Nothobranchius furzeri: one gene and its partner. The protein of the gene in region 1 purifies or fractionates together with the protein of each later gene. This does not show direct contact. Links are inferred from orthologs where the notes say so. Each region holds a gene or a part of one and is shown on either strand. Other genes may lie near its edges. The genes, in order: washc3 and capzb.

The links.
Region 2: the proteins of washc3 (region 1) and capzb purify together in Homo sapiens (co-immunoprecipitation; 4 studies listed by BioGRID and IntAct, with this or other methods). This does not show direct contact. The link is inferred for Nothobranchius furzeri from reciprocal best matches to the Homo sapiens genes WASHC3 and CAPZB.

The regions. Positions count from the first base shown.
Region 1 is NC_091741.1:43,372,035-43,376,825, forward strand, and holds the start of washc3 (WASH complex subunit 3), read right to left. Parts: upstream 3,105-4,791; 5' UTR 2,970-3,104; coding exon 2,919-2,969; intron 1,423-2,918; coding exon 1,324-1,422; intron 1,222-1,323; coding exon 1,156-1,221; intron 1,084-1,155; coding exon 946-1,083; intron 1-945. Other genes in the region: uncharacterized protein, read left to right, coding at 3,447-3,480, 4,201-4,403, 4,486-4,587, 4,674-4,769. UniProt on the Homo sapiens protein: Acts as a component of the WASH core complex that functions as a nucleation-promoting factor (NPF) at the surface of endosomes, where it recruits and activates the Arp2/3 complex to induce actin polymerization, playing a key role in the fission of tubules that serve as transport intermediates during endosome sorting.
Region 2 is NC_091743.1:46,417,071-46,421,152, reverse strand, and holds the start of capzb (F-actin-capping protein subunit beta), read right to left. Parts: upstream 2,801-4,082; 5' UTR 2,569-2,800; coding exon 2,566-2,568; intron 1-2,565. UniProt on the Homo sapiens protein: F-actin-capping proteins bind in a Ca(2+)-independent manner to the fast growing ends of actin filaments (barbed end) thereby blocking the exchange of subunits at these ends.

The DNA of each region.
Region 1 (4,791 bases):
GTATATCATATTTCTATTTCACCCGTTCCTTTGTCTCTCCGACTGCTTTGAGCATGTACATGACACAAGAATTTCCCTCGGGATAAATAAAGTTGTTCTTATCTTATCTTATCTTCTATGATCAGGTGTCTCACAGCTAAAAATACTTCCAAAATGGACGTGGACAGTGGATCGCTGAATAACGTGCAGCGTCATTGTGCAAACATGACATACATCTCATCACAAATGGCGCAAGCCTGTCTTGTTTGCACAGTAACGATGGGAATTAATCAGCGAGACCCAATCTATACTTCAGTTTAAGTCTGACCACTTTGGTGTAAAGAGGAGTTCATGTTTGACTCAGTCACTGCAGAAATAAGCCCAAATCATCAGCCCCCTGCCACCGTGCTTTACAGAGGACAGGAGGTGTTTGAGCTGACCTGGTGCACTGTTTTAACCAAAAGTGATGGCTTGTTTACTGACCTCGGCCTGAACTCTGTGCTGCAGACTCAGGAAATCTGCCCTGAAGGTTTTCCACCTTTCTCACTGTAAATATGTAACGTCACACTTCTGGATAGGATTTTACAATCCTGTCAGAGTGTGAGGAGGACAATCAAAATCCAATCCGATCACTATGCAAACAAAGCAGCCAGTAACAAACATACTTCTTTGAAGGTTCTCAAAACTAAAAGTCTATCCTTTACAACAGGAGGGGAATGTTGAGCCTTTTTTGTACGTAAACTCCAAAAGAAAACAAAACAACAGTTGCGTTGACGGCAGGTTTCTACTTGTTGCATCGACCAAAGAGCTGATGACAATCTACATTCCGACTTAAAAAGAAAAGTTCAACTGCCGATTTTTGGCATCACAGACTCCCAAACAAGAAAAAAGACACAAAGACTGTTTTGGCATTCATCGTGGCCGATTGAACCTGCATGTCTGTTGCAGGTGGGTCTGAACTCCTACCTCTGAGGAAGAAGGTGGTCCTGCTGCTACACCGTTAGTTAGGTTCTGACCGATAGTACTGGGTCCTTTAGTGTGGGAGGCCTGCTGTTGGTTGAGGCCCTCTACTGTGACGTCCTCCAGTCCAGGAATAGAGGACAGCTGCTCAGAACAATGTCACTGCATAAGTGAAAAGACAACATCCAGAAACGGTATCAAGGTCTCACAAGTTACCTTAGCCTCTAAAATGCTGAGTGTGGTTTCAATCTGCTGTATGCGAAGAGAAATGTTTGCAAGTTTCTGTGAAGAGAAGTAAAAAAAATAAATAAATACATAATTTGAGTTCATATTCTGAGGCAGAAGAAGCATTAAGGAGTAAAAAACAAACAAACAAACACAAACCTCTTCACACACGGTGGAAAACTGGTTAAGAAATCGTACGGTGTGCACAACAAACTGGTTGAGAAATCCAACGATTCGTCTCTGCTGTATTGCAGGAACCTGAGAAAAGATAAAAGCAGTATAATTAAAAACTTACCAAGTGTTACTATAGTTTATTTTACTAAACATAAACCTCTAGTATAATTGATTTTTGAATGTTATGGCTTTAAATAATATTGAGGGGATTCTAAAATGACTTTTAACTACTGCTGTTAAAATGTTTTTTGTAAATCTTTATTGAAACAAAGCAGTACAAAACAACAATTAACACCAGGGAGAATAAACAACATCTACATAAACAGACCAGGGTCATGTGTTAGCAGTGTTATTTAAACAACACAATAACATACAGTAACCTGTGGATTATTGCAAAGTTTCAAGTATTTGAGAGAATTTTAAAAGCAGCTGAGTTCTACCTTTAAAGTCTTGCATCAAACAAAATGCTAATGGCAAAAAGAATGATGAAAACTATCAAATCTGATTTTCTGTGTTGGGTAGTTACTAATTATATTTACTTGAGTATTTTTAGGAAAAAGAAATGCAACATTTTAATTAAGTCTTTACATTATATAATTTATCATATAACATTATACTATTATCTGTTTGAATGGATTTTATAAATTAAAGGAGCTGTTATGATTACTCATTATTTGAGCAGCTTTTTTGCAAACACAGTTTTTGTACTTTTTTTTAACTACTCAAGTAAACATATATGAAAGTAATGCTACTCTTATTTGAGTATAATCTCTGGCTACTCTACCCACATGTCTGACTTTGCATATAATGGATGCAAATCGGTGTGGAGGAAAAACATTTGGAATAACAGACTACTGTATATCAGGTGTTGTGCCGAAAAGAGCACGCCTACCGAAATGTGTATCCCCGTCGAAAGACGCAAATTGAAGAAGAATTTGAATTATGAGCAATTCAGAATTTGAACACGTTTCTAATCCGTGTTTCTCCTGAAAAGATTTTGTTTTTGACTACAAATATGATGAAATAATGATTAAATAATTGACCTTTTTCAACACGTTTGACACTAATGTTTTAGCAAGTATTAAACAATTTTGTTGGTTTAAAAAAGCAGACTCAAAATGACTAACCTTTTATATGTGCATTATATTACTTAAAATAAAACATGTTATAAACAGTAGTTTATTTTACTTATTTGCTCATAAACCATCATTTTGTAAGGAAGGATGCAGCTCATGTTGTACACATTTATTAAAAAGCGGTCTCATACGCGCCTTCCCGCAGGGGATGCACATTTTCGCAGACAAGCTCTTTTCGGCACAACACCGGTAATAGAATCTAATGAATGATGTATTCAAATAGAACATCAGTGTTCGGAGAGAAAACGTTCTTTCCTCTTTTGATACTTCTTTAGAACAAACCAAAAGGAAAATGACTAGGCAAACAGTTACAAGTAGGTGAAATTAGTTAGAAAAAGGCCACAGTTTTCTCTGCATTAGTGATTATATATTTTGTTAAAAAGCACAAACATAGCTTTGGGTTCTCAGGTTTTCAGTGTTAGCTAACCAGTTAGAAACACAAACCTTCGTAAGATCGACTCCTGACCCGACTAACGGCAGGCCGTCCTCGTCCATGTTAGCGTTTTACACTTCCTGTGAATAGGAATGTGGTTTCAGGTCTAATGGCACGAAATTTGAAAGAAAAAATGACATGAAACAAAACATTTACACCGTTGAAGGCTTCACGTGACACTGAGCAGTGTGACTGGCTACGTGATTACGTCACTCTAGGAAAAGGAAATGATTAACTTTTATTTTGAAGAGGCATCAATGCACTCGAATTCACACTTTTATATTTCGAGCTGTCGAAATTTTCTAAACTTTTTCTTTATCTAGTCATTGGCTTTGAAGTAAAAAAGAACTTGAAAATAATAGCATTCTGAAATTCATTAGAAAACACCAAAACACGTCTTTCAGACATATATTTTGAAAAGCGGAAACTTGAGTGAATACTTGAGGAAGCGATGCTTGCGCTCTAATAGCGCATTAGCCACCAAAACAAACAGCACAAATATACACAGATTCCTCAAATTCACTTGGTGGGATGCTTTAATGGAAGTTGTGGAATCAAAAGAAAAAATGGAGGGTATGTATGTTACCAGTTTGCCTTTCTGATATTTTCTGGAGACGTGTTTGTTTTACTATCAGTGGGCTCTGTCTATTTAAAGGAACCACAATGTTCATTATTTGGCAGACTGTTGTTGTTGCGCAGTGGAAGTTAGCTTGCTGTTAAATGTACAGACACTCTTACGCGATATATTGTTTTAACTAAGTTGCGAAGCTTTTGAGTAACATCTGTGGACATTTTCCAGATTGTGTATCTAAAATGTTAAAGATCTGTCCAGGATTTTCTCCAGTTCAAAAGCCTGTAGCTCAAATTCAATTCAAGTTTATTTATACAGCGCCAAATCACGACAAGAGTCGTCTCGAGGCACTTCACATAGTTAACATTCCAATACAGGTCAGTTCATTAAGCCAATCAGGAAAAAAAGTTTCCTATATAAGGAACCCAGCAAACTGCATCCAGTCACTGACTGGTCTCAGTGACTTTAGCAAGCAAGCAAGCAAATGACAGACAACAATGTAACAGATCACGTGATTGTTTTATTGCTTGATTGTTTTTAATTATCTGTATGAAGCCAATAACTGTTTCAGTTATGTGTAAAATGTGAGAACTTTGCAAAATCACATCGTGAAAATTTTATCCACCTGCTGTTTCCTGCAAGTACTCTGAATGCTCTCTGAATTAGGGGGTGTGTTACTGCCCTCCATCGGTCATTTCTGACTTTACACATTAATGTTTCAGACCCAAACTTCCCTTTGCCCTCCTTTCGCCTCCTGGTGCCTCCCTTGCATCTTCTGTCTGCTGCTATGTGGAATCTGATGAAGGGGAAAGATGTGATGAACTATGGGAAGCTGCAGGAGTTTGTGTCCATGCTGACAGAAGCAGTTCCTGGTTTGATCAACCACAGACAGAGAGCGCATCTCCTTCTCGGATTGAAGGCCAGGGTGAATGGTGTTTTGTTTCACATGCAAACGTTCTTGTTTTGGTGTCTCAGTCGTGCATTAACATATTTTGATGATATTTCAGTTGATTTTGGAGTTGTGCAAGGGTTCTGCTCGACACGATGTTGATTCTGATGTGATCCAGACCTACTTGGAGGGATTCCCAGTTACCTCTGCAACCACAGACGTATGTAAACTAATGATACTTGATGCAAATGTCAATGTTTTCTTGAAGAGCGCTCTCTGAGTGATATGATATGATTTTTTTTGCAGACTGTGGACACAGAGGTGAGAACAACCGAGTGCACTTTTATTGCACTTGTTCAGAGCTTGCTCAAAGATCCGGCTGAAAGAGCATATTTTTTTCAGGTGAGGCAACTTTTTAAAACAA
Region 2 (4,082 bases), on another chromosome or scaffold:
TACGCAACATGTTTAACGTGAGGTATCAGAACCATGATGGAGGGATTTACATTTCAGTGGTGGAAACAAAACCTGTTGCACACTGCTGCCAACTAGCGGGTGGCGATTGAATTGCACAAAACGAAAAGAAAATGCACAAATGTTTGCATGTAAATTCTTTCAAGAATGAGATACACAGCTTTTGAATATCGATGTAATAATCACAGGAAAAAATACCACGATATATTGCCATATCGATATTTTCTTACACCCCTAATTCCCTGAGAAGGCTGTGTGAACAAAACCTGGCTGCGCAGAGATGGGCCAGCCCAACCTAGACTGCCATATGAGACAGGACCTTAGTGGGCAGACCAGTTGCAACAGGAAACTGTTTTAAGGAGTGACATTTTTAAGGTGAGATAACAGGCTGCAGAAGTGTCTACACATGTTTTCATCCAACCTTTACCAGACAGACAGAAACAAAGTCTTCAGAGATCACATGTAAATCTTATTGCTCCAGCACTTACATAGTTAAGGTGCTAAAATATACACTAAAACACAACAGATTACACCTATGTGTGCCCTTAGTTTGCAAAAAAGTCAAAGAATTGTTGAGCTATGTATATGCTTCTTTTACGCTCTCGTTTTTGTCATGCTTTTATTTTGAAGGTGTTAAGAGTGCTTACGTGACTTCCTGACTCCAAACAGGTTGGTCAGATGAAATTTAAGGTAATGTGTCTCACCTGTGTGTGTGTGCAGAGAGATGAGTAAAGCGTTCTGAGACTTCTCTTCCTCTGTCTTTGTGAACTAAGTTGAACCGCTGATAAATGTAAGCTCTGCTAACAAGAATGACAAACGACACAAAACCCAATCCAATGCTCCTATAAACCAACAATAAAGTATGTTGAAACAGAAGAAAAACAAACAAACAAACCCCTATCTCAACAAAATGTGTTATACCAGATTAATTCACTTCCCTTACAGATGTAAACAAAACCATCTAACATGGGTAATCCACACCTGAAGTGTGCAAACATACTAAAGTACATAAGAATGCATCAACCATCTGGTACAAGAATAATGACATGCTACAAAGCAGAGAGCCCTCTGAGCATAAATATTTTCATTAAGGCTAAAACAGAACATAACAGATGTTTATAGGAAGTGTCTCGCATAAAATCTCCCGTCACAAAGGTCACTTTTTAAAATCAATTTCTAACTGATGAATCACTCTGCTTCATTAAACACCCGTGTTTCTTGACAATGCATTTACAAGTGCTGCTGTCTTCATGTAAACACCGATCAGACGAGCAACTTCTGGGGTCATAGGAGAACAGACTAAAGACGGGGGCAGCTGTTCTACTTGGTTTAGTTCCTGTTGACGTCAAACAGTCATGCTGCCTACTTGTGGAAAGAAAATGCTAAAAAACTGGATGTAAAATGAAGCTAGTAAAAGGGTTTGAGTAGAAAACAAATACGTTTGAATTTTAAGAGATAAGCATCATATCTATTAACAAATGCCACCCTCTGCATTGTATTGTGTGTTTGAACTTTTGTCAGGAAACAAACGCGAGTTGCTGAAACTTTGGGCAACAAATTAACTGAAGCAGAAAAGAGATTCATATTATCTCAGTGTTATGGAAAACCTGTTTGATATCACTTGAATGGAACAAGCACTCATGCGGTGTTAAGTGAATGAGTCTTGTCAAACTAGTAATTCAGATAAATAACAAGCATCTTTTTGGTTCTCTGGAGTCACCACGAGACTAAAAAAAGGCTTACAGAGAGTTTGGAAAACTTAGAACATTAAAATATGTTGCTAAACATAGAAAAATATTGCAGCAACTGTTTTATTACATTTTTAAATAATTTCATTAACAGTTAATATTCTAACCCTTGTAACTTTTGCTGTTATTTTCACACATATCTGGGGTTCATACAATTCAATAGATTAAACAGTTAGAAAAATTCTGTCATTTTGTTTAGTTCAATATGATGTTTTATGGATTAATTTGACATAACATACAAAGGTAACCATATTTTAAGGCTGACGAGAATAAAATTAGACTAAAAATAAGTCATGTGAACATGGAGACTGGGCTGGACTGGGTGTCAGACCTATCCAGGAAAATGTAGAGAAAGGCAGCCAACTTGTCATGATTAGAAATAGTAGGAGCAAGCGCTCTTATTTTAGCTGCGAGCCACTCCGTGCTTGGCTGTTTCAGCCAGAGTAAAAGGGTGGATGAACTGTGTGAGTGTGTGTGAGAGAGAGAGCTAAATTAGGATTGATCCCTGCTGTAGCAAACTTGTGTCAAATACAAAACATCCTGTGTTAACTTTACCTATGAGGCAAGTAGATTGACTACTGTTAGCAGGAAGCTAACTAGCAACTTAGCCATGAAGCTAAATAATACTTTTCGCCACGCAGAAGTTCTGCTAGCCACGCAAGTTGGATGCACTCAGTGATTTGTGCTCCGTGCTCCTCTCAAATTACCACCCAGCTCCTCCAACCAGCAGCTGAGTGAAAAAGCAACCGCAGCCAAAGCCTAAAACCCCATCTCCAACCAGCTTCTCCGAGGGCCTTACCATGTCTGCGGCGGTCTCAGCGGGGATCGATATCACCGATGACTGTACACCTTAGCTTTGTGGTGATTTGCCAACGTACTTCTCTGGTCTCTTGTCGTTTTTATTTATACTTAGTACCCCGCGGAAGATGTTTTGTTCGCCTCTCCCTTTCTGAACCCAGCCCTGTCAGCGAAATTTACTTCCTCAACCCGGGCTATAGGAAGGAGGCTGCGGTGAGAAAACAGGCCCCGCTTGTACATCCGGGTCACTGGGGGTTAGTTTGCATCAGCCAATAGCGACGGAGCAAGAAAGGCATTGCCAAGTATGGAAAGAGATGAGCTTAGCAGCAAATATGCAGCCAGGGAGGGCGGAAGATGGACAGCTACTGAAAAAAAAACTATAATTGCAAACTGAAACTACAAATAAATAATAATAACAACATAAAAACCTGTCATCCATATTACAATTAAAATTCTTCCTGTCAACATTTATATAATTAGAACTGAACATTATCATTTGAAACTGGCCGTGTTCAGAAATTTAGTTTTGCTCAGTGACCGTAGAAAGAGGTTTTGCTGTTTTATGCATTCTTTATCAAGGTTGTTTCATAGAATGCTTAGGCAATGTTATTCAAATATAGGTCTGCAAGTCATAAATTTCAGACTTCATGAATCATGAGAGGATTAATTAAAAATGATAAATCAAATGCAAATAAAAGATTTTGTTTAATCAAAATTTTAAAAAGATGCTCAGTTACTGAAAAACTAAACATACCTGTGTTTTGAAATCGGAACAAAATGTAGGACACTTCTGACACATCTTTATTTATTTATAGTAAATGGCCTGCATGTGTTCTCATATACCTTCTAGAGTTCTACAACCCTCCAAGGCACTTCACAACACAATCAGTCATTCACCTGTCCCACCCCCTCCCCCAATGTTTTCCAATGACATTTTTTTGTCCTCTTCACTTTTTACCATCCAAAAACAATATCACGCTGTATTAAATAGACATTGGTTGACCACTAGGACCAAGCAGAAAACAACCACTTGTGTTTACGCCTGTTTCTCATTAGAACCATCCATGAGCTCATCTATTGGCTCTGCTGATACTTACTAACGTGTGATTGGCCATTCTTGTTGTCGTTCCAGGTTGTAAACAGGATGTGCTTTCATCATCGGGATCTCCTGATAAATCCCTGCTTGATCAGGCGCTCCCCTCCCAGATTCGCCGGCGCCACAAACGATTCTCAGGTGGATTCAATCCCATATCGGTAATCAAGGCTTATGCACACCTATAGGCAGCCCTTGTTAATCGATGCTAGATAAATGAGAATGGAAGTAAAGGACAGAGCCTCGTTCTTCATCTAGACATCCCCCATGTCTAAAGTCAAAACCACATCCTTGCATTCACCCATGCACAAACACATTCACACGGTAGTGATGATTAGCTACAATGTAGCCACAGCTGCCCTGGGGTGCACTGATGGAAGTGAGGCTGTCTAGCACTGGTGCCACCAGTCCCTCATACCACCACC